7 linked regions of the Cricetulus griseus genome follow. The protein of the gene in region 1 purifies or fractionates together with the protein of each later gene. This does not show direct contact. Links are inferred from orthologs where the notes say so. Each region holds a gene or a part of one and is shown in the gene's direction. Other genes may lie near its edges. The genes, in order: Rpa3, Zup1, Prpf19, Rfwd3, Smarcal1, Top3a and Rfc1.

Evidence for each region.
Region 2: the proteins of Rpa3 (region 1) and Zup1 purify together in Homo sapiens (affinity purification with western blotting; 3 studies listed by BioGRID, with this or other methods). This does not show direct contact. The link is inferred for Cricetulus griseus from reciprocal best matches to the Homo sapiens genes RPA3 and ZUP1.
Region 3: the proteins of Rpa3 (region 1) and Prpf19 purify together in Homo sapiens (affinity purification with western blotting; 3 studies listed by BioGRID, with this or other methods). This does not show direct contact. The link is inferred for Cricetulus griseus from reciprocal best matches to the Homo sapiens genes RPA3 and PRPF19.
Region 4: the proteins of Rpa3 (region 1) and Rfwd3 purify together in Homo sapiens (affinity purification with mass spectrometry; 5 studies listed by BioGRID and IntAct, with this or other methods). This does not show direct contact. The link is inferred for Cricetulus griseus from reciprocal best matches to the Homo sapiens genes RPA3 and RFWD3.
Region 5: the proteins of Rpa3 (region 1) and Smarcal1 purify together in Homo sapiens (affinity purification with mass spectrometry; 3 studies listed by BioGRID and IntAct, with this or other methods). This does not show direct contact. The link is inferred for Cricetulus griseus from reciprocal best matches to the Homo sapiens genes RPA3 and SMARCAL1.
Region 6: the proteins of Rpa3 (region 1) and Top3a purify together in Homo sapiens (affinity purification with mass spectrometry; 3 studies listed by BioGRID and IntAct, with this or other methods). This does not show direct contact. The link is inferred for Cricetulus griseus from reciprocal best matches to the Homo sapiens genes RPA3 and TOP3A.
Region 7: the proteins of Rpa3 (region 1) and Rfc1 purify together in Homo sapiens (affinity purification with mass spectrometry; 3 studies listed by BioGRID and IntAct, with this or other methods). This does not show direct contact. The link is inferred for Cricetulus griseus from reciprocal best matches to the Homo sapiens genes RPA3 and RFC1.

Annotation. Positions count from the first base shown.
Region 1 is NW_023276806.1:216,931,802-216,936,432, forward strand, and holds the start of Rpa3 (replication protein A 14 kDa subunit), read left to right. Parts: upstream 1-1,662; 5' UTR 1,663-1,853; coding exon 1,854-1,952; intron 1,953-3,043; coding exon 3,044-3,118; intron 3,119-3,971; coding exon 3,972-4,080; intron 4,081-4,541; coding exon 4,542-4,624; 3' UTR 4,625-4,631. UniProt on the Homo sapiens protein: As part of the heterotrimeric replication protein A complex (RPA/RP-A), binds and stabilizes single-stranded DNA intermediates that form during DNA replication or upon DNA stress.
Region 2 is NC_048595.1:257,243,867-257,247,740, forward strand, and holds part of Zup1 (zinc finger-containing ubiquitin peptidase 1), read left to right. Parts: intron 1-229; coding exon 230-340; intron 341-2,689; coding exon 2,690-2,811; intron 2,812-3,874. UniProt on the Homo sapiens protein: Deubiquitinase with endodeubiquitinase activity that specifically interacts with and cleaves 'Lys-63'-linked long polyubiquitin chains. Shows only weak activity against 'Lys-11' and 'Lys-48'-linked chains.
Region 3 is NC_048596.1:49,549,453-49,553,326, reverse strand, and holds part of Prpf19 (pre-mRNA-processing factor 19), read left to right. Parts: intron 1-1,253; coding exon 1,254-1,409; intron 1,410-1,606; coding exon 1,607-1,676; intron 1,677-1,833; coding exon 1,834-1,919; intron 1,920-2,125; coding exon 2,126-2,296; intron 2,297-2,430; coding exon 2,431-2,536; intron 2,537-3,874. UniProt on the Homo sapiens protein: Ubiquitin-protein ligase which is a core component of several complexes mainly involved pre-mRNA splicing and DNA repair. Required for pre-mRNA splicing as component of the spliceosome.
Region 4 is NC_048596.1:187,682,405-187,686,278, reverse strand, and holds part of Rfwd3 (E3 ubiquitin-protein ligase RFWD3), read left to right. Parts: intron 1-954; coding exon 955-1,166; intron 1,167-2,667; coding exon 2,668-2,811; 3' UTR 2,812-3,874. UniProt on the Homo sapiens protein: E3 ubiquitin-protein ligase required for the repair of DNA interstrand cross-links (ICL) in response to DNA damage. Plays a key role in RPA-mediated DNA damage signaling and repair.
Region 5 is NC_048595.1:425,980,270-425,984,143, forward strand, and holds part of Smarcal1 (SWI/SNF-related matrix-associated actin-dependent regulator of chromatin subfamily A-like protein 1), read left to right. Parts: intron 1-169; coding exon 170-356; intron 357-1,940; coding exon 1,941-2,091; intron 2,092-3,315; coding exon 3,316-3,474; intron 3,475-3,874. UniProt on the Homo sapiens protein: ATP-dependent annealing helicase that binds selectively to fork DNA relative to ssDNA or dsDNA and catalyzes the rewinding of the stably unwound DNA. Rewinds single-stranded DNA bubbles that are stably bound by replication protein A (RPA).
Region 6 is NC_048600.1:74,737,032-74,740,905, reverse strand, and holds part of Top3a (DNA topoisomerase 3-alpha), read left to right. Parts: intron 1-936; coding exon 937-1,059; intron 1,060-2,007; coding exon 2,008-2,699; intron 2,700-3,874. UniProt on the Homo sapiens protein: Releases the supercoiling and torsional tension of DNA introduced during the DNA replication and transcription by transiently cleaving and rejoining one strand of the DNA duplex.
Region 7 is NW_023276807.1:132,328,657-132,332,530, reverse strand, and holds part of Rfc1 (replication factor C subunit 1), read left to right. Parts: intron 1-311; coding exon 312-419; intron 420-2,582; coding exon 2,583-2,762; intron 2,763-3,338; coding exon 3,339-3,443; intron 3,444-3,874. UniProt on the Homo sapiens protein: Subunit of the replication factor C (RFC) complex which acts during elongation of primed DNA templates by DNA polymerases delta and epsilon, and is necessary for ATP-dependent loading of proliferating cell nuclear antigen (PCNA) onto primed DNA.

The DNA of each region.
Region 1 (4,631 bases):
GGGTGGACCCTGAATGCTGCAATACTAACTTGCCAGGCCTGGACGAAATACATCCCAGGACTAATGAAATTCTATGAACTTGTTTTAGTAACATCAGAATTAAGGCAAACATTAACTATAAATATTAAGGAAAGTGAACAGTCATTTAAACAGGGTACATCAAATTTCTATCTTAAATTGCCATATAAAAATCTCAAAGCAGATCTTTGCAGATCTTAAACAACAGCAGGACTACACTCTAGCTCCAATTAGGACCCTTGGTTTAAAGACTAACAATAAGAATGTGGCTTTAGGAAAATCCAGACACTATTGCCACATAATTATGAAACCCAACTAAAGTTAGGTTCTAATTTCTGCAACCTCTTTTGAAGGTATTTTCATGTGCACTCGTTCTGAAATTTCTGGTCCCAATCCCCGGCTGGTGACATCACTATAATCAATAGCCACCAGCTTCCAGTCATACTATGAACCAGGGGAACATCCGAGAAGTTCCCCCAAATCTTGGAATAAATTGTCTTTCAGTCAGTTCTATGCCTCAAAGAACTCCAGGGAGCTAGATTACAACCCCAAATTACAATCAGCCGGTGTTGTAATGTAAGAAAAGCCAGAGAAAGATGCCATGCTACAGGGTTCAAGAGCGGAGGGGGGCGGCATTAGGGAAAGGGGTCATAAAAAGGGGAAAGGGGAGGGGGAAGACAGGAGCACCAGGAGGGAGGGAAGTGGGGGAGAGAAGGAGGGAGAGAGAGACAGAGATAGAAACGAGAGAAAGAGAGAGGGAGTGAGGATGGGAGGTGGGCAGAACCCTTAGGGAAACATGGTGAATGTGCACAGACGGTGGCTGCAGCTGAGGGCGCATCCTGTCAGACCCCAAGGCCAGGCCAGTGCAGATGCCTGAACACTGACAGTCAGGACCTAGCACATCAGTCAACCCCTCGTTTGGCAGATAGATCAATGTGGCACCAGTGGAGGCGCACTCGCTGGGATTCAACAGCTGGTGAAACAGTTCTCCTCTGATCCTGCCCAGTGGGGAACCCAAAAGCAGTTAGGTGAGGAGACGGACACCTCCGGACCGCCAAAGCCAGAAACGGTCCTAGCTGTAAAGAAGGAAGGGTCAGCACCTCTTCCTGCTGGTGGGGAAACCGGGCACCTACGGGACACAGCGTGCTACATAAAATGATCTCAGTCTCCTAGCAACAGCCTCCTGCGGAGGAGATGAAGACTGATGATGATGGTCCCCTTCAGGTACAACTAGAGCAAAAATAGAAGCCCAGACCCCAGGCTCGGCACGCTCCCGCGCTTCCCACGCAGAAGCGGGTAACTGTCACCGCCTGAGCCACGGTGTTCCGGGCCTGGCGCCTGACTCCGCCCCCGGCCCCGGCCCCGGCCCCTGGAGTTCAGTCCTCCGGGGGAGAGACGCACGAGGATCGAGACACCTCCCGCAGGAAAGCGCTACCTGAGACTCCGCCGCTCGCCGTCCGCCGCCCGCCACCCGCCGTGCCGGGACTTCAGCCTACTTCCGGGGTCAAGTCCCCGTTCGGCCACCTCAGATCCCGGTCCGTGGCCTCAGCCCCGCCCCTCCAGGCCCCGCCTCCTCCGCCCACTCTTTTCAGCCCGAGCAACTTCCGGAACGCCGGGAGTCACTAGGCAGTGGGTCCGTACTTCCGGAGGACTCGTGCTCCTCCCCCGTCCCCATGCAATGCAACTGGACGACCCTGCGGATTTGATTGGTGGAGCTGGAGCGCGGGTCTCCTAGGATTGGCGATCGGGAAATCTGCGCGTGTTGGCGCGGAGGCCAGCTCGGAGTCCTTGCTGGCTCTGCTTTCCCGCTGCTTCCGAGTGTCGGCGGCACCATCATGGTGGACATAATGGAGCTCCCCAAAGCGCGCATCAACGCCAGCATGCTAGCGCAGTACATCGACCGGCCCGTGTGCTTCGTGGGGAAGCTGGAAAAGGTGCGCAGGCTCGGGCGACAGAGCGGGGCACCGTGGCCACCCAGGAGTGGCTGCGCAGTGGGGAGCGGAGGGTGAAAGCAGGTAGCCTTAAGCAGCATTGCTCTCCAGCTTGCTTTAGTTTTCACCAGCAAGAGTTGCCGCTGCAGCTCCGGCGTGATGCCGCTTCTTGTGTGTCGCAAAGTGTTTTCGAATGAGCTAACTTGTAGTTCCAGCGCTCCCCGCCCCCGTTCTGTATTTACTTGAAAGATGATCAGCCTGGCTCCACTGCCTACTGTGGAGTTTTTGGTTTAGCCATGCTTGGCTGATGAATCTATTTCTTTCCTGGTCTTTTGTAACTTTCTGTGTTTTGGGCCTTTTTTTTCGCGTTGCAGTAGCTTTTCTGTGAGACATTGATAGCCCCTCCCATATCCTGTTGATCCCCAGTATGTAGCCCAGACTTAAGACTACATACAGCCCTCATCCTATAGCTAAGAAATAAGCCCACAGTCTGAGAATCTGTGACTGAGAGAGCCGAGGAAAGGAAAATCATTTGTAAGAACTTATTTACTAGCTCATTTCATTCACACATTCCCAAAGTGAAAGGAATGTTATTCTAACTTCACAGGTAGGCTGACTGAGCCAGAGTGTTGGTAATTAACTGAAATGCTCAGGGTCACAAGTGGCAAAGCTCAATTCAGATCCCAAGAGAAGTCCTCAGATCTGGCAGCCAGTTCTTTTAGTTCTTCATTCCTAATTTTAAAAGCATACCTTCTGTGAGATGTACTATCTAAATCATGAATGTCAGCAGAATCCCCACTGTTAGGTAAGTGAAAAACTTCCTTAATTTAGTTTTAGTATACAGTTGCCAGATTTTGCAAATAAAACAAGAAGCCATACATAACACTAAGCAAGTACTCATTGTTTACTAGAAATTCAAAATTAGCTGGGCTTCCAGTGATCAGATCTGGTAACAAGATTACAACTTGAACCAAATAAACTGTCCAAAAACCAGTTGTCTTATGTTCAAGTAAAATGTCAATGAAGTTTTTAACCATTTCATTTCTGTAGATTCTATTTTCTAAATCTATGTGGGTTTTTGTTTTCTTTTTTAGATTCATCCCACTGGAAAAATGTTTATTCTTTCAGATGGAGAAGGAAAAAATGGAACAATTGAATTGATGGAGCCAGTATGTTTTAAGTGATGTCTCATATTTAATTTTTTTGTTTGGTTTTTTTATTATTTCTGATTTGGTGGATGGTAGTGTGAAGGCTGTACTAGTTAAGCCTCCTCATCTTTAAAATCAAACCTATGCCCTCATATTTTATTTCCATTTCTAATCCATACTAATTATTAGAGCTCCAAGTTTCTGATAATGTCCCTTAAGATTGGTTGGATAATAATTTTTATTACTTAAAAAGATACCCAAAATGTACATATGAAAATCTTTTCCAACTACTTCTTCCATATTCACAAGCCTGGCCTTGAAGTGGTGGCCCCAGGTGCTTCGCCTGCTTCAGACTGCTACTGGTACTGCCAACCATCTTGATTTTCTATTTTTAATCTTCAGTTACATATATTTTTATTTTCTGTTTAATGTGCTCAGAAACATTTTTGTGGTCTTTTATGAAGACAAATCCATACAGTGTTTGGTTACTCTATATAGAACACACATTGTAAGATTTATACACAGTTCTCAGTGAATTTTCAAATAAATCCCTGTGTATATATCAGGAACTCTGAAATCCTCAGTGTCTTTAAATAACTCTGCCGTCAACTTAAATATAAGTATCTTTGGACCTTGAGCCTCTTCTAAAGATAACAAAACTTTTACCATCCTGTCAGGTATAGATACCACCATTTTTTAACAAACTATACTTCTGTTTTTTTATGTTGGTAAAATTTGAAACTTCTTTTTAACAATGAAAAATTAGTAAGCTGTGAAACAATATGAAAAACAAGAAACTATGAAACAGCTTTCCAAGCATATTATCAATTGAAAAGGTCAATATAGGTAACTGACATTTCGGTCAACATTTTAGCTTGATGAAGAAATCTCTGGAGTTGTGGAAGTAGTTGGAAAAGTCACAGCGAAAGCAACCATAATGTGTGCATCTTATGTCCAGTTTAAGGAAGATTGTGTTCGCTTTGGTAAGTAAAACATTATACTACATAGTAGTGCCATGTAAATAGGAGAAAAACTTTTTTTTACTATGCATTGGTCTTAAATCTCAGTCCTGGCATATTTTCAATTTCTATAGAATGAAGAGACCTTCTTTTAATCATCTCTTATAGGTGAAGGAAACTTAGTAAATGCTATTTATAGATAAAATGGCTTAAAATATGATGAAATTAATATTCATTAATATATGAATTCAAAGTTTGAACAGTGCAGTAACACTGAAATTATGATCCAGCAGAAAATGACTATGTAACAGACAACAAAATAGGTTATCATCTCTCCTTTCTTTGGGGGCACCAGAGATAAATAAACATGGATTTTGAAAAGAAGTAGACTTCTGAAAAGGAAAGAAATAGGTAGAAACTTGAGGTAACAGTAGATGCTGCAAATTCCGCTATAGATTAAATATTTGCTTAAATGTTTCTTTCAGATCTTGAACTTTACAATGAAGCTGTGAAGATTATCAATGAGTTACCTCAGTTTTTTCCTTTAGGGCTTATACAACATGAATGAACTTCTT
Region 2 (3,874 bases), on another chromosome or scaffold:
GCAGGCCTGGAAATTGATGTGTGGATCAGGCTGACTTTAACTTACAGAAATCTGATTGCCTCTGCCTCCTGAGTGCCATGGTTAAAATTGTTCACCACTATGCCTGGTGACATGGTTTAATGCTAACTACAAAAACACTCTACTCATAAAGTGTACACAGTCCTTGGCATGGGGTGAAAAGTTTAAAAGTTCTACAAATAAAAAAAGCCTTTCTACATCTCTAATACAGACTGTCATCAACCACTCTATGACTGTCCCATGTGTGGGCTCATCTGTACAAATTACCATATTCTCCAGGAACACGTGGACTTGCATTTAGATGAAAGCAGCTTTCAGCAAGGTATGTTTATGTCTAAAAGTGTTTTCATTTCTACTTCTAGAACACACATGTCTTTTAGGTTAGGGATACGATGAAAAAGTCACCCTGTTTAGAAGTGAATCTGTTCTTTAAATAATCCCCGGGTAGCTGCACCGCTTTCCTTGAAGTCTTACTGAGAAATTGTAAAGGATGAACTGTGGAGACAGCATCCAAACCAAGGTTAGACATCGTGGGTTTGGCTTGACATGTAGAGAATACACCATTTAAGACAGTGCTTTTTTAAAAAGTGCTTTTTTGCCATTTAAAAGTTTCTCTTGACAAGTTGGGGCCATGCTTTCATTGGTTTGAAGTAATGAAGTTAACCTTTAGCCAGCAAGATTTTCCAACTAAGAAGCTGCCACTTTAAAAAACTAGGTGAATTTATGTGACTCTTGTAACTATTGTGTGACAAAACTTTTCGGGGCAGGGTGGAGGTGGGGAAGCAGCACACATGTCTGCTTACCTCAGATAGGAAACCTGTGACAGACCAAAGTACTAATACTACCTAAGTTCAGTTTGGTCAATGAATTTTATTGGGGCTACTTATAGGAGTTTGAGTGAGGAGTTACTTATGAGAGCAGAAATGATAGAGCCTCATTGTGTAGCTCTGGCTATGTGTAATATCGGGCTAGAACTCACAGAGCGCCCCTTGCCTCTGTCTCCCATGTGCTGGGATTAAAGGCGTGCACTGCCATGCTCAGTGTACAGGTCAATTTTATGGAGACATTTTCTCAATTGAGAGTCCCTCTTTCCAAATGACTGTAGCTTGTGTCAAGTTGACATAAAACTAGCCACCACCTCTATCTTCCTTTGCAGAAGGTAGTAAGGGAATGCTGTGGGAGGGTAACCTTTTAGAAGCTGAATATCTGCTGATTCTTACTTTGTGGGTAGGCTTTGTGATGGTGCATATATTCTGTAAACCAGTGCAGAGAGTCTCAGGGCATGCTAAAAATCAGTTATGAGTTACATACCCAAGAACATAAGGGAGAATCAAATAGAAAGGTATAACAACTAGGAGGCTTGGAAGAGAGAATATTCAGTTTTGGAGTTAAATCATCAGGTTTGTGGATTGTAATGTCTCTGGATTGAGGAATACCTAGAAGATTCCTTAGCTATTCTGGGGTGTCTCTGTGTGTTTCCAAGGAACACTCATGTGTGTAACGATAAGTCTTTCCACCAGCCGCCTGGTTCCACCCGCCATCGAGTTAGGGCCCCAAGTAACACACAGATATTAATGTTAGGTACAGTGCTGCTGGCCAATGACTAGGATTTCTTATTTGCTAGCTGAGTCTTAATTATCAACTATAACTATTAAACTATATATTTTATAAACTTATTGAGGACACAGGTGGCAAGTGTCCTGTCTTCTGGGGCTCACATGACGACTCTCTCTCTACTACATTTCCCAAAATCCTCATCGACTCCTAGTCCTACCTATCTTGCTTTCCTATTAGCCAACAGTGCTTTATTCATCAGCCAATAAGATGCCCCCCATCATGTGTATATGGGCAAACTGAATGGAGAAGATCTATATTCAATGTGGACAGGTAGCATTCAATTCAGCCAAGATTCTAGATGGACCAGGACAGTTGAAGAAGGGGCAAACTCATTTTGGCTCTTCCTTCAGGATTGGGACTTGTGTTTTCTACTGTTGCTCTTTGCCTTTAGACTGCAGAGTATTTGGCCTTTGGACTCTGGGACTGTTGTGAGCATCCCAACAGAAATCTTGAGCCTTTGACCTCAGACTTGGATCTCTGTCCATCACAAACTGCTCACTCTGGCTCTGTGTGTGTGTGTGTCTGTGTGTCTGTGTGTGTCTGTGTGTCTGTGTCTGTGTGTGGTGTTTTTGTCTCTCTGTCTCTCTCTGTGTGTCTTGCTCTGGCTCTTGCTCTGTGTGTCTGTGTGTGGTGTTTCTATCTTGCCCTTGGTCCTGTTTTTACTGGAGAACCCTGAAGAATAAAGGAATCTAAGAAACAAGATACCATACAGATACCACTGTTAAAAGAATCTGAGTTTCACTGGGAGACATGAAGCAAGTCATTACACTGTAAAATTATTTCTCCTTTTTGGGTAAAACTATAATGAAACAGTTGGAGATAGTGAAGGTATACTTTGTACTCTTTATTACTTTCTTCTCATTTGTTTCAAAAAGGAATCTCCATTAGTTGTATTCAGAGGCATCAATGAAAAGTGCCACTTAACCTTTCTTTTTTTTTTTCCTCAGCAGATAATACTTCATAAAGTTGTCAGGAAGAACAAGTCAATTAGTTAATGAGGAGAGCTTGTGGCAGCCTAAGTACTGAGTGAATATTGCTTGTTTCTCTCTAATAGGCATGGACAGAGTCCAGTGCTCTGGTGATAGAGAATTAGCTGAGCAGCTTCAGCAAGAAGAAGACAGGAAGAGGAAATCTGAGGAATCAAGGCAAGAAAGGGAAGAGTTCCAGAAGTTGCAGGTACAGAGATCAGTAACAGTTTTATTGAGTAGAGTTCTTATTTCCCATATATGCTTTTTTGGGGGTGGGGAGGCAAAAACACTTAAAAGTAGCTATTTTCCAAAGCCAGAGAGCTGGCTTAGTTATTAGGAGTGCTTGCTTCGCCAATAGATGACTTGAGTTCATTTCCCAGCCCCTACTTCAGGCCGCTTAGAACTGTTTATAATTTCAGCTACACACACACACACACACACACACACACACACACACACAGCCATTCTTGACTGTGCATGTGGCACATGCCTTTAATCCCAGCATTAGGGAAAAAGAGGAAGGTAAATGAATCTTTTAAGTTTGAGGCCAACCTGGAACCCATCAAAAAACAAAGCAAAACAAAAAACAATGTAGCAGTCTATTCAGATACTGGAATAATCATTTCAGATAAAATATGTGAAAAATTTCCACAGAAAACACACAGGGTTTTGTTTTCATTTTTCTTTCTTTCCTGTGTTTAGATGAAGAACAAAAATAAAGTGTTTGTGATTTGCCCTGGGTTAGACAACTGTTAGGTAGAAAAGGATACATGTAAAAATATGCAAATGACAGGCAGATTGTAAAACTATACCGAGACTCTGCCTGTCTGTTTACTTAAAATTATTGTGTATCTCTCCTTAGTTTTGTTTTTGTTTTTATTTTTTGGGTTTTTGTTGTTGTTTGAGACAGGGTTTCACTGTTTAGCTCTGTCTGTCCTGGAATTCGCTTTTTAGACAAGGCTGGCCTCAAACTCGAAAAGATCCACCTGCCTCTGCCTCCCAAGTGCTGGGATTAAAGGCGTGCATCACCACTGCCTGGCTGTGGACTGGAGGGATGGCCCAGAGGTTAAGAGCAGTGGTTACTATTCTAGAGGACGCAGGTTTAGCATGGCTGCTCACAATTTCAGACATTTTTATATAACGAACATTCAGAGGTTGGTGTTTCATGATGTTTTAGGACACATTTTCCTATTGTGAACAAAGTATCTATTGGATTAAACTTGCAGCATCTGAGGGTTTTTAATGCTTTAAAAATTTTAATAGATGTTTCT
Region 3 (3,874 bases), on another chromosome or scaffold:
CTGACTGCTAGGTGTCTGTTCCCATGACACCCTGTGTGGTTGGGTTCAAAATTAAATGTTGGCTGTTGAAAGTGGTGTGAGTTCAAATAGAAAAGAGGATAAAGGTAGCTATTAGAGGAGATTAATGGTCTCATAAGAGTTGAGTACTGTGGCTTGGTATGCAGCTGCATGGGGTGCTGAAACAGTGCCTCCCAGTTAAGTCTTTCTCTTAGACTTAAGGAACTGAGAAATAGAGGACTATTTGTGTCTTAGTGCTCTTTTGCTATGAAGAGACACCATGATCACAGCAACTCTTAATAAAAGAAAGCATTTAATTGGGGGATTGCTTCTTACAGTTTCAGAGGTTAGTCCATTATCATCATGGCAGGGAGCATGGTGGCAAGCCTGACACTGGGCCAGTAGCTGAGACAGACAGACAGACAGACAGACAGACAGACACACACACACACACACACACACACACACACACACACACACACTGTTTGACATGGGCTTTTGAAATCTCAAAACCAACCTATTCCCAATGAGATACTTCTCCAACAAAGCCACACTATTAATCCTTTCAAATAGTGCCGTTCCCTGGTGATTAAGCAGCCACATATATGAGCCATTCTCATTCAAACCATCACAGCTATAGCAAACTGAAAAACTAATTCAAATTGAAGTACTTTTTTTCCTGTTTATTCGTTGTTAGTATTACTTTTGGCTTTTATGAGTATGTGTTAATGAAAGGATAGTTGCTGTTATATTCTGGCTGTTACTGTCCTAACTAGTGGAAATAATTTATTTGGGAAACTAAATAAGCTCTCTGTCTGCCCCAGGTCTTTTGGACAATCAACATGCCCTTGGGTCTAAGTGTGAGGAACATGGGAACATGACCTTATATTCCTTTACAGGCTCAGTCTGCTCGGATCTGTGCCATCTAGTCCAGTAGTCTTTAGCTGCAGGTGCACATGATTCCAGTCCCTCAGTTCCACCCAGCTTTAAAAGGGGGCAAAAATAGCTCTCAGCTGCAGTTGCCCTGTTTACTACTAAGTAGTGAGGGTCTCAACTTGGCTCAGTGTGGCCATTTCAGCAGCATTTATTTTTCTTGGCTTTCTTAGGCACTGTTGTTTAGATAGGTGGTTACAGGCAGAGAGGGACTAGAAGGAGAAGCAGTTGCTGGTAGTTATGGCTGTCCTTTTCACTGTGGAAAAGGGTGTTATAGTACATTTCACTTCCTAGGATCTGATTCTTGGTTGCTTTCCTTTCAGGAACTGGTGTTTTCTGCATCCCCAGATGCGACTATCAGGATTTGGTCGGTCCCAAACACCTCCTGTGTACAGGTTGTTCGAGCCCATGAGAGTGCAGTGACAGGCCTCAGCCTCCATGCTACTGGAGACTATCTCCTGAGTTCCTCTGATGATCAGGTACAGTCCCAGCTAGGGCCCTGAGGAGGCTGCCTACTCACCCTGGGAGGAAGGGCCATCTTGCTGGGGCAGCCAGATTCCCAGAGTTCTGGAAAGGTTTTTTCCCTGTTGTGGGAGCTATCTTTGCCAGTAGGTGCTGAATCAGGGTCTCAGCTACCAGACCTGCTTACTCATTGGCTTCTTTGTCTCACCTCCAGTACTGGGCCTTCTCTGACATCCAGACAGGGCGCGTGCTCACCAAGGTGACAGATGAGACTTCCGGCTGCTGTAAGTGTCCTTAGAGGCACTGAACTCTTTTGTTTGCAGTTTGTCTTTAAGTTTTACTTAGTCATTTGCTTATTTGTTCTAAAGACAGTGTTTACCACTGCACCAGTGTAGAGGCCACGGTGACTACTGACTACAGATCCCTGTCCCCTTTCCTCAGCTCTTACCTGTGCACAGTTCCATCCTGATGGGCTCATCTTTGGAACAGGAACCATGGACTCCCAGATCAAGATCTGGGACTTGAAGGTAGGACATGCAGGCCTCTTAGAGAAGGAACTGATGAGGTGTGTCAGCAGGCCCCAGGATTTCTCAAGGCTTAGGAAAGCCTGGCTTTGTTTGTGTGGCATGGTAATGTCACCAAGGAACTGTGGGTGCACAGGACATGAAGTTTGGTAAGCCCCTTCCTATCTTAACCCGTAAGTGATAATTTTTTGTCCAACCACCACCTGTAGGAGCGTACCAATGTGGCCAATTTCCCTGGCCATTCTGGCCCCATTACCAGTATCGCCTTCTCTGAGAATGGGTACTACCTGGCCACAGCAGCCGATGACTCTTCAGTCAAGCTCTGGGACTTACGCAAGCTGAAGAACTTTAAGACATTGCAGCTGGATAACAACTTTGAGGTGCGCTCCTCCCCAGTCTTAGTTGTTTGTCCTCACTCCCTGATGGTTTCTGAGTTCATGTGAACTGCTTCTCTTTGTCCCAGTTGTTCTGTGGCTTGACATTTGTGTAATTGCCTTTCTTTGGGGTTTGGCAGGTGAAGTCACTGATCTTTGACCAGAGTGGTACCTACCTGGCTCTTGGGGGTACAGATGTCCAGATCTATATCTGCAAACAGTGGACAGAGATTCTTCACTTTACAGGTAGAGGCTGGCTGTGGCTTTCCGGGGCCTTGTACATCTGCTCTAGGAAGCTTCACTTGGTGGTGAAGCTCTGGGCTTGGCCTAGATAGGCCCAAACTATTCCTACTTTTGCTGTCCTGGGAGTGGAACCTGACCAAGTTTCCTACTACTGAGCCCAACCCCCAGGCTGCTTTTACTTATGTCTGGGGGCAGTAGAGCATTGTAGCCTAGGAAAAGCATTTGTGAGTCTGTTTGGCTGTGAGTTGTGTTACTACCTGGCCTCTCCCAAGTTGTGTGTTGAGGAGCAAATTCTGTAATTTGTAATCTCTCTGGTGCCTTAGGAAAATTGAAATGATAATTTCAAACACTCAGTAGGAAATATAGGGGTTTACATGAAAGTGCATGCAACTCATAGGTTAGCAGTGTCTTGTGGTATATTATTTGGTATTGGCTCTTGATTTGAGCAATGAAAAAGAACCAGTCTGGGAAGTAATGAAGGTTTTTTTGTTTGTTTGTTTTGGTTTTTTGAGACAGGATTTCTCTGTATAACAAACCCTGGCTGTCCTGGAACTTACTTTGTAGACCAGGCTAACCTTGTACTCACAGAGGTCTTCCTGTCTTTGTCTACCAAGTGCTGGGACAGTAGATGTGCACCACCACACCTGGCATGTTTTTTATCTTTTTTTTTTTTTAAGATTTTATTTATTTATTATGCATACAACATTCTGCTTCCATGTATATCTACACACCAGAAGAGGGCACCAGATCTCATAATGGATGGTTGTGAGCCACCATGTGGTTGCTGGGAATTGAACTCAGGACCTCTGGAAGAGCAGTCAGTGCTCTTAACCTCTGAGCCATCTCTCCAGCCCATGTTTTTTTTATCTTTTGTCAACTTTATTGGGGTCTATCATGTGTGAGTGATGAAGTTTAAAGTCAAGTTAGGCAGTTTTCCTTTGTGTGGAGATGGAGTCTGGGGCCTTTCCCACAGTAGCAAGTATTCAAGCCCCAACACAAGTATAACTACAACACAAGGATAACTAGAAGTAATAAAGGGAAGTCAGGCTGACAGTGGTGCACAAGAGGGTTTCTCACCTTAGAGTCACCTATGGCCTTGAGTAGCTGCTATAGCCTCAACTTTAGGGGATCTTGCTGGGTGTGATAGCTCACACCTGTAATCTCAATTTTTGATAGCTAAACTAGAGAATCACCTTGAGTTTAGGCCAGCTGGGAGCACAAGAGGGCTTTTCTCTGGAGAGTTGGTGAGATCCGGGTGTTTTCTTAACTCTGGAAAGAACCTGCCCTGGTTCTCCATCTGAGTCCTGTGAGGAAGATAGCTCAGCTTTTTCTATTCTGGAT
Region 4 (3,874 bases), on another chromosome or scaffold:
GGCATTTTATTTTATTTTATGTTTTGAGACAGTCTTGCTGTGTACTCCTGGCTCTCTATGGCACCAGCCAACCTCAAACTTGTAGCAGTTCTTTAGCCTCAGCCTCTGAAGTGCTGGAATTATTGAGTGGTTAGTTCACCATGCCTGGCTAATGGAGAAGCCTCTGTGTACATTGATTTTAAGTAGGGCCTAAAAATGGGTTCCAGGATAGAGTTGTCAAGTTTGTCAAGTTGACCATCAAAGTGCCCATTTGTGGGTGGATCTCATCATTGCACATTTATCTGGGAAACTATTTCAATTGCCACTTCTGGACTTTTGGCTCTTAAAAATCATGCTATGACTTGCATAGAAAGCTTGGGGCTAGAGAATGGTTAAGAACACTGACTGCTCTTACAGAGGTCCTGGGTTCAATTTCCCAGGACCTGCATAAGGGCTTACAACTGTCTGTAACTCCAGTTCTAGGGGAACTAGCACCCTCACATGGACATACATTCAGGCAAAACACCAATGCACATAAAATAAAAATAAATAAATTAAAAAGAAAGCAAGTTTGGGGGTTCCATTTTGTTTCCCAGCTTTTGTCTGTCTCTCAGAAGTACCTCAGCTGTAACTTGTTATAGCTAATGGCATCCTCAATGGAAAAGGGGGAAATGCCATAAGAATACTTGAAAAATAAATTTCCCAGCAGGTCTCAGAAGATACATTGATTATACAAAACCAGTGCATTTCTAAAGTTCTTTCTGAAGTAGGAAAAAATCTACTGCAGATAACTTCCTTTATCCTAGCCCAGGCTTCTGAATTCATTGGTGCTATGTTGTTGTGTTTGCTTTATAGGTCTTGTGGGCTTAATATATTTAGCTTTTCTACCCAGCAAGGTTTAAGTATTTGAGGTTCAGGTACTTAATTTCTGTTGTATCATCTTCATGAGGTAACACCAATTTCTCTATCTCATAGATAAAAGCCATAACACTATACGAACTGTGCTGTTGGAGATGTCTTACAAACTAGATGATGCTGGAGAACCAGTCTGTTCATGCCTTCCTGTGCAAACATTCCTTGGGGGACCCACTTGCAAACTATTGACCAAAAATGCCATCTTTCAAAGCCCAGAGAATGATGGCAATGTCCTAGTATGTACTGGGGATGAAGCATCAAAGTCTGCTCTGGTAAGCCTGTTTTTATTTTATATTTAAAAGTAGTTTGGGGTTTGAGGGTCTCGGAAGTTGTCTAGCATATGTGAGGAAGTCAGTCCCAACCACCACATCAGTCTAAAGGTAATAAGGCAGAAAGCAATACCGGAAGAATCTTGCCCCCCATACTCTTCTGTGGTTTCCAAATGCACAAGTAGGGGCATTCATATAAATATGTACACACAAAATTATCTCTGATATATAATGATTACAACATAGGTGTTAAACACTATGAAGTAATAGCACAATAAAGGGAAGGAAACAGAATTGCTAACACATTAACGATTACTTAGAACATTTATTGGGAAGTTGACTCATTTGGTAAAATGTAAAATGCTTGCCATAAAGACCTGAATTCAGATCCCTAGCATTCATGTAAAAAGCCAAGCAGAACAGCACATACTGTAATTCTAGGCCTTGAGAGGTAGAAACTCCATGAGTTCAAAGCCAGTCAAAGTCCACGTAATGAATTTCAGGCTAGCCAGGGCTGCACAGTGAGACCTTATCTTAAGATAAAGAGTCTGGTGGTAATTTATTGTACCATTTTTGTTATTTCAATGTATTTTTTGAACGATGGTCTTATTGTATACTCACTATATAGATCTTGCTGGCCTAAAACTCAGATCTGCTTGTCTTTGCCTTCTGAATGCTAGAGTTAAAGGCATGCCTAGCATATCTCAACTTTTAAAAAAACTTTAGTTGCCGGGCGGTGGTGGCGCACCACGCCTTTAATCCCAGCACTTGGGAGGCAGAGGCAGGTGGATCACTGTGAGTTCGACACCAGCCTGGTCTACAAGAGCTAGTTCCAGGACAGCCTCCAAAGCCACAGGGAAACCCTGTCTCAAAAAACCAAAAAAAGAAACAAAACACTTTAGTATATGATGTTGGGGTAGTGAATATGTGCTATGGTAACAGGTAGAGGTCAGAGAACAACTTTGTAGACTTGGTTCTCCTTCTTCCACCTTTACCTGGGATCTTGTTAGGCTTGCATGGCAAGTGTCTTTCAATGAGCCACCTTCCTGGGCCCTGTTTTAGATAGTTTACAAGTGTCTTGTAGTAAACATTCTAGAAAAGAAAACACTTGCTAGAATGTATGTTCCATGGCTAGAGAGATTACTCAGCAGTTAGGAGCATGTTAGGGTCTTCTTCCACAGGATCCAAGTTTGGTTCCCAACACCTAAATTGGAAGGCTCACAGCCAGCTGTGAGCTGGCTCCAGGAGAGCCACATTCTTCCACAAGTACCCCACATGGACACACTTCTTAATACAAGTTCTATGAGGATAGAGATAGTGGTCTTATCTCATTGACTCTTCTGTCTCTGGAAGAGACAATATTTAGAAGACTTCTGGCACATAGATGAAAGAAATGAGTCCTTAACTTGCTTTTCAAGCCAACTTAGGGTGTGATAGTTTTATACAGTTATTCCCCACCTGGGCTGACTAACTACTGACCACTGTTTCTGCTTGCTTTTTTAAGTTGTGGAATGCTGGCAGTGGCTTGTTGCTGCAGGACCTGAAGACTGATCAACCTGTTTTGGACATCTGCCCATTTGAAGCAAATCAGAGCAACTATTTGGCCACCTTAACTGAGAAGGATGTCCATTTTTATAAATGGGAGTGAGCATGGTCTTGAGACCTTCCAAACATGCTACTGGTTAATGTTAAGTATTGTTTTTAGCACCTAGTAGTCCTGAACAAGATACCTGTTTATATGTTGTAACTAGAACTTTTGAATCATGGGTTCATTTGGACTAGTGTGATTCTAGGTCATGGAGACACTAAGATTGTGTATACTATTTGAACCAAAAGAGTACCTTTGTGAATCTTGCCTGGAAATCCTTTATTTAAATTCTGCAGGATCTTACAGTCCTCACAACTATTATTTAGGATATGAGTATGCACAGCACTTTGGGACTGTGATACCCAACCAGCCTGAATTGTCTTGGGTAGAATTTGACTTATTTCCAAGTTTGAATGCTCATAACTTTTAGTGACTTGATCTCACCCACACCCCTGGGCTTCTGCCCCCCTGTGTCTGGTACACCATGTGGTATGTGTTGTGGCAACAACAGTTACATTCCAGGTATACATGGGTACTAGAATGTTGAAAAGTCCAGTGCTGGAGGTGGTTGATGAGCTAGCTATATGAAGAGCCATAGCTACAGCTTGTGTACATTAAGGTCATTGCATTATGAGAGAAAAGAAAAGGACCAGTTGTTTGAGCAATTGTAAAAGACTTAGATTTTTCTAGTTAGTGTAGAATTCTCAGGGGTTTTTATTCTCCACCAAGCCAGTGCTTAAAGATGTACAATTCCCAGGTAAAGACTTCTTTTCCCGTGTGAAATGTTTGATTCTGAGTTCCTCTGATTTGCCTCCCAATTTTTTCTGAAAGTGTTGTTAGTAGTGTGGTTATTCTCAGGAAGGTAGTAGTGGTTAGACCTGTGGATGACTAATAGGAAGACACTTAGAAACTTCCATTCTGGTTGTCCTGAACTGGCTGTCCAGCATTTAGAGTTATGCTCAGGTTCCATTTGTCTACTTTGCCTTAGGCTACTTCACTAAAGCACTGCCTCTAGGACACCCAAGGTGTAGACAACATGGCTATTGTCTCAAATATTTGTTGGTGAGGCACTATCCTTTTTAATAAAAGTTCTGTCCTACCTATCAAACTCCTGAGCTATTTT
Region 5 (3,874 bases), on another chromosome or scaffold:
ATTTGGTCCGGTGCTGAGGTAGTGGCATATTCTGCAGTTAGCCCTCTTAAGAAAATGGCATGTAGCAGAATACCTTTTGCTGAATTCTGTGTGCTAACGCCATTTGTCTTTTTGCAGGTCTTTTGGACATGTGCATTCTGGTTCACACACCTCCGTTTTCTCTTTCCAGTTGCAAAGTCACGTGATCTCCGACAAGTTCAGCTAGACCCTCTGCCCAAGACAGTGACCCTGGCATTTGCATCTCAGCTGGAGAAGACATCTCTCAATGCCAAAGCCGACGTGCCTGAAGTTGACCTTTCTGGAGTGGATGCCAAGCTCGTGTCTAATCTCATGCCCTTTCAGAGAGAGGGCGTTAGGTAGATAACTGGTCCTCCTCTTGCTCTCTCTTGCTTGAATTCCATCATTTAGCACAGGTGGGGTTCAAATGCTTCTTTTATGAATACTTACATGTATTCATTGCGTACCTGTCTGGAAGCATCTAGATTAAACATTAAGCATTAAACAGCCAGGTGTGCTGTTAGCAAAGCTTATTGTTACCATTGGTTTCCAATTCCATGAGTTAACCAGGACTTTGGATTGCAGGTGTTCAGCAACCCAGTTCTCATCAGCTGAAGGAAAGAGATTTCTCCCCAGAAATCTCTGCTTTAGTTCGGCTTTCTTCTTAGCTTGCACCAGGCTCAGCCAGGTGCTCTTTTCAGGGGCTTGTGGCTGGTGTTCCATAGTTTGGCAGCACAGATTAAGTACTGTTTCTGTGCTGCAGAAAGGGAGGCTGATTCTTGGGGCTGCTAGAGGACAAGGAAGTACCCTGACATGGTACCCACTGGCCCATGTGTGCTGGCCTCTGGTCCCCAGAGAGCTGCTCAGTTGTTGCATCCTGGGAAATTTACCAAAAGGCCAGGGGCAGCTGAAAAAGTCTTGTAGTGCCCACACGCCAATGAGAAGAGATTACTCTCTTTGTTTTTATTGTGTAAGAAGGAAAGAAAAGAGCTATCTACCAGCTCATCACTGGGTTTCTGAGCCAGCAATCAGTTTTTCACAAATTAGATGAAAGAGGACTGGAGTTTGGAGCAGGGGACCAGATGTCTGATGCACAGACTCTTTGTAGTTTCTCAGTGATTCATCTGCAACACCAGCAAGTCATTTCACTGTTCCTGCTCTCATTGCTTCCTCCCTCATGTGGGATGGTGGCTATAGCAGAAACTGTTCTTCGGTGTTTAGGAAGGTGTCAAGCACCAATCCTAAGTGCTCTTTTACTGTTTCTCCCAAGAGTGGTCAGGGACTCCTTACTCGGATCTCACTGTTGCATCAGGAGGTGCATCAGGAGGCTCAGCTGCTGAGTGATAGAGTTGAGATTCCAGCTGAGGCCTGTTGCAGGTACCTGGAAGCTGCTAGTCTGCGAGAAAACCCTTTGCTAAAGCCAAGTTCTCATCCTCTCCCTGTCCGTCCTTTTTGCCAGTAGTTTTAGTCACTGCTGGTTTCACCCTGCTCCTGAGCATACAGAGTGAGCCTTGATGCTCAGAGTGCTGCATTTCTAACTCCACTTACTCTTACTTCTCTTTCTGTCCTTCCTGGGCACGTTTCTCAAGGGAGATCAAACCCCTGGATGTGGGTGTTGCATCACGGCCTCTCATGGTCCCCTGTGATCCTGTGCTTGGTTTAGGCAGAGTTTTCTCACTGTGGCTTCGCTCTTAACCCTGTGGCCTGTTGTCTTCTACATCCTCCTCCAGGGTCCGAACCATTCTGCATCTTCACTGTCTGTTCCCTCTTTTCTTATCCTGTTTCCTAAATGACTCCTGCCCTGTCCTTTTTGGAAAGAGAATCTTGCTGAGAGCGGGGCCCATTTTTGTCAGTGTTGCAGCTCTGTGGTGGCAGGTTAATTAAGATGGACAGAATGGCCCCGTGCACTGTGATATTACCTTACCCTGTCTGTCTCCTTGCAGCTTTGCCATATCCAAAAGAGGCCGCCTACTACTTGCTGATGACATGGGCCTGGGGAAGACCATCCAGGCCATCTGTATAGCAGCCTTTTACAGAAAGGAGTGGCCACTCCTGGTGGTCGTGCCTTCCTCTGTGCGCTTCACCTGGGAGCAGGTTAGATGTCTCTGCACTGGAATCATTGGGAAGGGCTTCCTTAGGGCTAGAACATCCAAATTACAGTGAAGAGCAAGGCCTGGGATCTTTAAAGGTCCAGATGTGGGTCAAAGACCAGCAGAAAGATGAGTTGGTCCCTGAGAATGGGGAGTCATGTTATCCCCAAAGGGAGGAAAGCCAAGCAGTCACTAGCTTAGGGACCTACTGCCAGTCCCTCAGCAGATACTGTTCCTCTGGTAAATAAGACTGTCCTTCTGCACTGCACCCGATCTCTGGAATGTCTTTACTTCCTTTGTCTCTCCAAGTCCTGTGACACAGCACTCAGTGACCCACTTTACAGATAAACAAACTAGGTCTCAAGGAGGTCAAGAGCTGTGTTCCCCCCTAAGGAGGCATCTTACTGACTTCCCTGCTCAGTGTTTTGCTTGCTATAGGGTATAGTACATACTATGTTTATGCTCCCCAGACGACCTAATAGATGGAGGCCTGATGTAAACATTGAATAATTAATTTTTTTAAAAAATTTAAGCAAATGCAGTGAAGGAAGGCCGAGCTTATTTCCCGAGCTTTATGGCTTTGTGCTGCTGATGTGGAGCATCATAGATTGACCTCTCCCTGAGGCACCAGAGTCAGACTGCAGAGGCTGCCTCTCAGCCTGCCGCTGGTGAGGTATAGATCCTGCCATTGCCTGTAGAAACTTGGCATTATGTATCTGTGTGTGTTAGATTTCCCTCAGAAAGTCCAGAAAGAGTCAGGGAGCTGCTTATAAGCAGAACTAAGACTGGAGAACTCATGTCAGGAAATAGCAGGCCCAGGCAAGGCCAGGGGCACCTACATGCTCTGGCTGGAGACACCCAGTGGCCTTCCTACAGCCCCAGGGTGCCTGATTTATCTAGTGATGGACTGTCAGTTTGCCTTTAGTGTACAGGAGGCTCTTGCAGGTCCTTCATAAAAGTCTTAGAATCATTCTAAGGAACTGGGACCATCTAGATTTCACAGAGAAGAAACTGTAGGCACATGAGGTGCCTGCTCACAGGAGAGAGTCCTGTCAGCACATAGTGAGGGGAGGAGTGGACTAGAGGCAGATAGAGAGAACCAGGGTTTGCCAGATGCAGGAGGGTATGGAGAGAGGAGTATGTCTTCAGGGAATGGTAAACTTGGTCCCCATTGAGAGTGTTGTTTTCTGGGTCGTCACTTTGTTTTGCTGTCCCCTGTCACCTGCAGGCCTTTCTTCGGTGGCTGCCATCTCTGAGCCCAGAGAACATCAACGTGGTGGTGACGGGGAAGGGCCGCCTAACAGCTGGCTTGGTCAACATTGTTAGCTTTGATCTTCTTAGCAAGTTGGAAAGGCAGCTAAAAACCCCTTTCAAAGTCGTCATTATTGTAAGTGACTTGGCAGGGTCCTGAGTACTTTGTCTCTTTAGAGGAACTCTGAAGGGTTCCTCAAATTTGGTAATTTGCCCTTATTGATCCTCTCTGGTTTTGGGGGAGGGGGCAAGAGAAATCACTGCCTTTCTTTTGTAGGGAATGATCTATTCCTCTCCTGAAGCAGCTCTTACGCCTGACTTGTGTGCCAGGAGGATCCCTTTAAACAAGTGGAACAAGTCTATTAGAGGGTTTCTAGTCCATCCTTCCTGCATTGGGAGGCCAGAGATGGAGGCCAACATGTGTGCATCAGACCATGCTGGGTCCAAAAAACTGCATTATTGTCAGCAAGGGTGTGTGCGTGTGCATGCATTTGTCCCACCCTGTGAATGTGGCGGCTCAGACATATAGTTCAGCA
Region 6 (3,874 bases), on another chromosome or scaffold:
CTCTGCCCCCACAGGGTTTCTTTTTGTGACCTTGGCTGCCCTGGAATTTGTTCTGTAGACCAGTGTCTTAGTTAGGGTTTTCTATTGCTGTGAAGAGACAATATGACCATGGCAACCCTTATAAATGCAACATTTAATTGAGGGGGCTCACTTACAGTTTCAGAGATTCGGTTCATTATCATCACGTTGGGGAGCATGACGGCATGCAGGCAGATGTGGTGCTGGAGGAGTAGTTGAGAGTCCTACATCTTGTAGGCAACAGGAAGTGGACTGACAGTCACACTGAGGGAAGCTTGAGCAAAAGAGACCTCAACGGCCGCCTCCACAGTGATACACTTCCTCCAACAAGGCCACATCTCCTAATAGTGTGACTCCCTTTGAGGGCCATTTTCTTTCAAACTACCAGTAGCTTCTAAATCACAGAGATTGACCTGCCTCTGCCTCCTGAGTGCTGGAATTAAAGTTGTGTGCCACCACTGCCTGACTTTAGCTGCATTTTTTTTGTTTGTTTTGTTTTTTAAGATAGGCTTTCTCTGTACCTTTGGAGCCTGTCCTAGAACTCATTCAGTAGACCAGGCTGGCCTTGAACTCACAGAGATCCTCCTGTCCCTGCCTCCCGAGTGCTAGGATTAAAGGCTTGCGCCACAACTGCCCAACTATAGCTGCGTTTTTTTAGGGGCATGAGAAGCAGGCAAGAAGGGTTTTTTTAGGGTAGGATATGATGGAGCACACCCCAACACTCAGGAGGCAGAGATGGGTGTATCTCCATGATCAGGCTAACTTGGTCTATATAGCAAGTTCCAGGGCCAGCCAGGACTATACAGTAAGATCCTGTCTCAGAAAACTAAGACAATGAAGAAGGCTCTTCCTGGAAGATGGATGTCAGCAGTGTGCCTTCTGAATTCCTGGATTTGACCTGTCCACTCTGCTCTCCAGGTTCTACCTTAGCTGCACAGGGTTCCCAGAATGTCGGGCAGCTGTGTGGTTTCCTGATTCGGTGCTGGAGGCCAGCAGGGACAGCACTGTGTGTTCCATTTGTCAGCCACCCCCTGTGTACAGGTGAGCTGGGTGTCTTTGGAGCATGCACTGTAGAACTCTTTCCTGTCCTCTCACTGGAACCCAGGCAGGAATGTCAAGGATAGTAGTTCTCCACCTATGGGTCCCAATCCCTTTGACAAACCTCTGTCTCCAAAAATATTTAAAATATTTACATTACAATTCATAACAGTAGCAAAATTACAGATATGAAGTAGCACCAAAAATAATTTTATGGTTGAGGGTCACTACAACATGAAGAGCTGTATTAAAGGGTCGAAGCATTGGAAAGGTTGAGAACCATTCGGGAATTCTGTTCTCAGCTCACAGTCTTAGCATCAGCACTAGCAGCTGACTGGTCTAGTTTTGTGTAACATTTTAAAAATGATTTATAGGATAAAATACTTTCTAAAGCAGATATACAGCACTACTGAAGATAATAATACTGGTTTTCATTTAGGCAAGACTGAATTTGTTCCACCTCTGTCCCTGTACTCCACTGAGCTATTACATGTTTCATCATTTCTGAAAAACTCTATTTGCACACATGGAAACATAAAAGTAGACTAGCATTCTTTTTTTTTTTTTTTTTTTTTTTTTGGTTTTTTCAAGACAGGGTTTCTCTGTGACTTTGGAGGCTGTCCTGGAACTAGATCTTGTAGACCAGGCTGGTCTCACAGAGATCTGCCTACCTCTGCCTCCTGAGTGCTGGGATTAAAGGCGTGAGCCACCAACGCCCAGCTGACTAGATGCATTCTTATTGTCTTGACTTCTTTACCTTGAAATAGCCCCAGATCCCTGAGGGGGCCAGTGGTGTAGAGAAGTAGGACTTTCTGAGAGTCTGAGAGTTCGTCTGTATGCTTGCTGCTCTGTGCTCTGAATGGGTTTCCTGGGGGCTGCAGGGAGCTGTGACTGGCGACCGCTGTGCACCAGGGCAAAGACTAACATATTTTCTCATCTTGACCTCACTAGGTTGAAGTTGAAGTTTAAGCGTGGGAGCCTTCCCCCAACCATGCCCCTGGAGTTTGTTGGCTGCATAGGTGGATGTGATGAAACTTTAAAGGAAATCTTGGGCCTGCGATTTTCACAAGGTCCCCCAAGAGCTACCCAGCCCTCTGGCTACCTGCAGGCCAGCCAGGCCCTCAACAGGATGGACAGCAGTCAGCATAGCCTCTCTCAACCTCTGGTCAACAGACATACTGGATCTTCAAAGGCAATGGCTGAAACCTTCCCACCACCCACTCCTGCTGGTGAAAGTAACTCTGTGATCTGCAATTGTGGCCAGGAGGCTGTGCTGCTTACTGTCCGCAAGCAGGGCCCCAACCAGGGCCGGCACTTCTATAAGTGCAATGGTGGTGGTTGCAACTTCTTTCTGTGGGCTGACAGCAGCCATCCCACAGGAGGAGGAGGGCCCCCCACCTCTGCATCAAGACCCCCAGGCAGCTCCATGGGGTACACGTCAGCTTTAGGCAGCAACGTGGATGGGTTTGGCAGCCTTGGTGGTGATGGTGATGGAAGTACATCCTGCCTGTGTGGGCAGCCTGCTGTCACACGGACTGTGCAGAAAGATGGGCCCAACAAAGGACGCCAGTTCCACATCTGTGCCAAGCCACGAGAGCAACAGTGTGGCTTCTTTCAGTGGGTAGATGAGAACATGGCTCCAGGTGAGGAAGCAGGACCACAGGTCCCTACATAGGTTCTCACAGTGGCTATCATTGCAGAGACCAGAGAAGAAGGGAAGGCAGATGAGTGTATGGGAGATCAGCAGGGCCATAGCTTTGCCTCTGTTTTCTCATTGTTCAGCAAGGCATGAATCATAGATAGGGTCTTGGGTTCACATTAGAGAGTAGCAACTGTGCCCAGTGCCATGATCTGTACTTTCTATAGCAAGTTTCCTTCATCTGGGTTCGATTACTTTTCCAAGTGAGGTCAGGTGCAGGCCAGCGAAGGGCTTTATTTAGTGTCACAATGACAGGTCCCAAAGTAGTAATAAGTGTCTTCCTCCCCTGTAGACTGTCACCCTCGCTAGGTCATTTTTATCAGCCTCATTTTACCTGAGGCACACTGACTGGTGGTGTGTAGAAACCTATCTACACAGCCCCGAGTCTCAGGAATGAATGTTCTAAGGACTGGCACCCAGACATTGAATCAGATGGGTTCCTGCCACTGCAATGCACAGCAGTAAACCCAAGGCTGAGCAGCAACTTTGCAGTTTCGCAGGTCTTTCCAATCCCAGTTGTATACCTTCACGTAGCTGGCTGAGCCTCTCACCCTTGGTCTCCTCAGCAATAAGATGACATCACTGATTTCCATAAAACTCCTGTTTCCTAAAGGAGCCAAGTTAGTCTCGGACTATGATCTTTCATTTTTAGTCATTTATTTGTGGCTGGGGTGCACATTTTGAGGCAGGTTATATATGTAGCTCAGGCTGGCCTCAATCTTACAAACCTGCCTTAGCCTCCTGAGTACCAGAATAGCAGGCATGTGCCACCAAGGCTGACTTCACATGTGGGCCACCAGATGCAAGAAGCACCCAGAAGACCTGGTGAAGAGCTTAGGACTTCAGGCCCCTCAGGCTATCCTTTTCTGTGCCCGTATCTGAAATAACTGCAGAGCCCTTAGCCTTGTATACACCTGAGACTTTCTAGGGCCACCAGAAGTGACATATGTCTCCAAGCCAGATGACTAGATGTCTTCAGTGTCAGGACAGCCAGCACTGCAGCCCATTTATAGTCTAGAAGGTTCCTTGGGGGCAAGGTGCTGAGGGTTCCACGAAGGGAAGGTAAAGTGGGGGCCTGGCTGCTGACCACAGACCCCCCATCTGCTACTGTGTGCTTGG
Region 7 (3,874 bases), on another chromosome or scaffold:
TGTCTACTTTAAGAGATTTGGAGTTACATTTAAGTTAAAAGCAATATAAAGTAGGAATTGGAAAAATAATGTAGTAGTTCTAAAAGTTATCTAGGGGACCCTCCCCAATATACACGTGCTAGATACATCCAGTATCTCTGAATCAGAAATACATGCATACATACATACACACACATACATGTATCTCCATTTATATCTGTCTGTCTACCTACCCATCCATCCATCCACATCCATCCATCTAAATTAAATGTAATTCTTTCTAGGTACATCTTAATTTTACATGACTTTTTTTTCTTTCCCTGTGTCCAAAGTCTGTAAGTCCAGAAGATTCTGAAAAGAAGCGTACTAATTATCAAGCTTATCGAAGCTACTTAAATCGTGAAGGTCCCAAAGCTCTGGGCTCCAAAGAAATACCCAAGGTAAGAGTCACGAGGATTGTGCTACTCTGTGCTACTCTGCCTCCTGTTCCAGCAAAGAGCCAGTATTAACAGAAAGGTCTCAGCTACCTTTTTATGAATTAGAAGTTCTTATTTACATTGTGACTCACTGGTGTCCTTTAAATAATAAGTAGCCTGAGAAGGGATGTGCTTTTCCATGCCTTCATGGACTCAGAGCTTAAGGAAAAGCATGGTAAATGCATTAATATCTGATAGTGATTGTAGTACCGTGCTGTGAGAGAAAAGTCCTAGGTGCTCTTAGAGAGTATAGTAGAGAAACATGGATGATCCTGGGTGGATCATTTAGATCAGTGGTTCTCAACCTTCCTAATGCTGTGACCCTTTAATACAGTTACTCTTGTGGTGACCCCAACATAAAACTTTTTGTTGCTACTGTTAGGAATTGTAGAAAAGAGAGCCTTATCATAGCCTCTATATAAAGATGGGGGTGAAAACCAAAGTGGGATTGACAAGTAGCAGCCCAGATGTGAGAAAGAAGTCTGATGTGAGTGGTATAGGAGAAGTGCAGGCAAGAAAGGTGATTGAGTGGTATGATCTGCTATGTTGTGAAAGTTGCAACAATGAGAAGACTCAGACTTGTCCATTGTATTTAGTAACGTGAGTGATGGTCCTTAATGGCCCCAGCAAGAACAGTAGAGACAACTGATGCAGTGGCTTCAAGAGTCTGAGGTGACAAATGGAGACGTGTTTTTGATAAGTTTGGTTGTGAAATAGAAATGAAGAGTGGGATTTAAGGGAAGAGGTGAATGTTTTTAAGGTTGGAGGTGTACTTAAGACGTGTTTCTTGCTGATGGAGTAGACCCTCCCCAAGGGAAGGATAATTAACTGTGCCATGGGGCTTCTGAGAATCTAGGAGATAAATTTGGTAGACATTTAAATTTAATTTTCACTTTGCTACATAAGGCGATTAGAAGTTCCCCTAAGAAGAAAGGGTAGGTAGCTAGAGGGAAGGGAAAGGGGCTGGAAGAAGAGATCAGCCTTGCCTCCTGTATAGGGTGTAACGCTGAGAGACTGAACAAGTAAGTGCCTGTTGGAGGACTTTAGGGCAAATGGTGTCCCTACGGGACTGCTGTGTTTTTGTGACAGCAAGGCTGTGAGGGAATGTTGAAGAGGCTGCCAGGAGTTTCCTGGAGTCAGAGCTGTAGAGGAGTCTAATGGATGAGATGGTAAGGACGCTGGTGAGGCTGAGCTTGGGTCAGTAACATGATATTGTGAGCTCTAGTGGGAGAGCACTAGGGAGACAGTAGTTTGGGGTTTGAAAGGAGGAGCTTCTTGATGTGGAGTTCTCCAGGGTGACTTGGAGTCTGTTGTGAAGATTTAATAGTTCATTTCACTCCTAGAAATGGAAGGACTGAAGAGAAGCTGTTAGCCATTTTCCCCTTTCTTTCTCAGTAAATAATAACTATTCTTTCCTCCTTTGTTCTAAGAAAGGTTCTTTATGTGGCAGAGGAATGATCAGCTTACGCTGGAATATGCTTCCAGTTTTCTTTAACTTTTTTTAAAATCTCAGTGCTATTCACAGAGTAATAAGGAGCAGGGCATATCATGTAGAATGACCATTTTGTTTGTATAATTTAGTTGATGTTATAAAAATTTTGAAAATCTATAACTGTACGGAGTTGTAGTTCAGACTTAAGAAGAGAAGCCCGGTCAGCTCTTAGATGGCCAGTTATCTTTGTTCTATGCTTCTAGCAGTTTCTTAGGTTCACTCTCAGTCGGGTAATGATCAGAGAATGATAAACGCTCCAACTTGATAGGCTTTCCAGAACCCAAGCTGTACTTTAACAACAGTGGGCTTGTCAGTGGGCAGATTACATTTGATTGTTTACTTGAAGCTATGAAAGCAAATTACTGATTTAAATATGAAAAGTGGAGAATTGCATGAATGGGTAATTTTAATTTTGGTAACAGTATGTTTTTCCTCATTCATTTGGTATGTGTTAAATGTTAGCTATGTAGGAATTCATCAGGATTTACTTTGAGGTTCTGCTGTAATTTCTATCTAGGTTTCATGCTGGGGTCTTTATTCATCATTATTTATGATGTCAAGTCAGCTTGTTCAGCTATATTTCTTTGGAAAGCTACCTTGTAATTTCTTCTCTGCTTGAACATTTTGGTTTTTAGGGAGCTGAAAATTGCTTGGAAGGACTGACATTTGTGATCACAGGCGTGCTGGAGTCCATTGAACGGGAAGAAGCCAAGTCTCTAATTGAACGTTATGGGGGCAAAGTAACAGGAAATGTGAGCAAGAAAACCAACTATCTCGTTATGGGCCGGGATAGCGGACAGTCCAAGAGTGACAAGGTGGGTCCTGCTGGCGCTCTTCACAGTAGTACCTGCCTGCCAGTGTGGCTGTTTGTGGTAATGCTCCTGGCCACATTACAGTTAAAAAAGAAGAGAAAGAACGCCTTCACCCTGTAGTTTTGTCTTCTTCACATACCGTATGTGTGTTTTTGGTTGTGACTACAGATTTTGGTTTGTTTAATTGGAAGCATCGTTGCTATTTACTTGATTTTCTTTGTGTATTCTAGTTTTAAAAATATTGTTAACATAGAAACATACAGGTTTTTGTTTTGTTTTGTGTTTTGGTTTTTCGAGACAGGGTTTCTCTGTGTCGCTTTGGAGCCTATCCTGGCACTCGCTCTGGAGACCAGGCTGGCCTCGAACTCACAGAAATCCTCCTGTCTCTGCTTCTTGAGTGCTGGGAATTAAAGGCATGCACTGCCACTGCCTGGCAAAATCTTAAAAATAATTAAAAATAAATTCTAGTGTTAATTTACAGTGTGGTGATTCATCTGCTAGTAAGCCTTAAAGTAAAATTTCCTCTCCAACAACAAGTAGTTTATATGGAGCTCTGATGACTTGTATTTTAATCAACAGGCAACAGCTTTGGGAACAAAAATCCTTGATGAAGATGGTCTGTTGGATCTGATTCGAACTATGCCAGGCAAGAAATCCAAGTATGAAATAGCTGCTGAAGCTGAGGTGTGTATAAGACAAACCTGGTTTATTGAAGTTGGTATTAGAAGCCTCCTGTTTGATAGAGATGCACAATAGACAGTACTTTTGGCTAGAAAATCAAACTCCTGTGTAAAACAAGTAAATTCACCTTCTTTCTTTTTGACCTGGAAGACTGTCTCAGCATGTCTTTGGTGTTTCTTTACTTTTCAGGGGAGGAGAGAGGGAGTGTAACATATAGTGTGTTGTGTGTAACCTACCTTCTCATCCTTATTGTCCATATATATATATACATCTCATAACATACATACATGCATACATACATACACACACACACACACACACACACACACACACACACACATATATATTTCAAGGTTAAAAAATTTACTTAGCCTTGGCTGGTAAGGAACTTGATATGTAGAGCAGACTGGCCTCAGACTCAGAGATCTGAATGC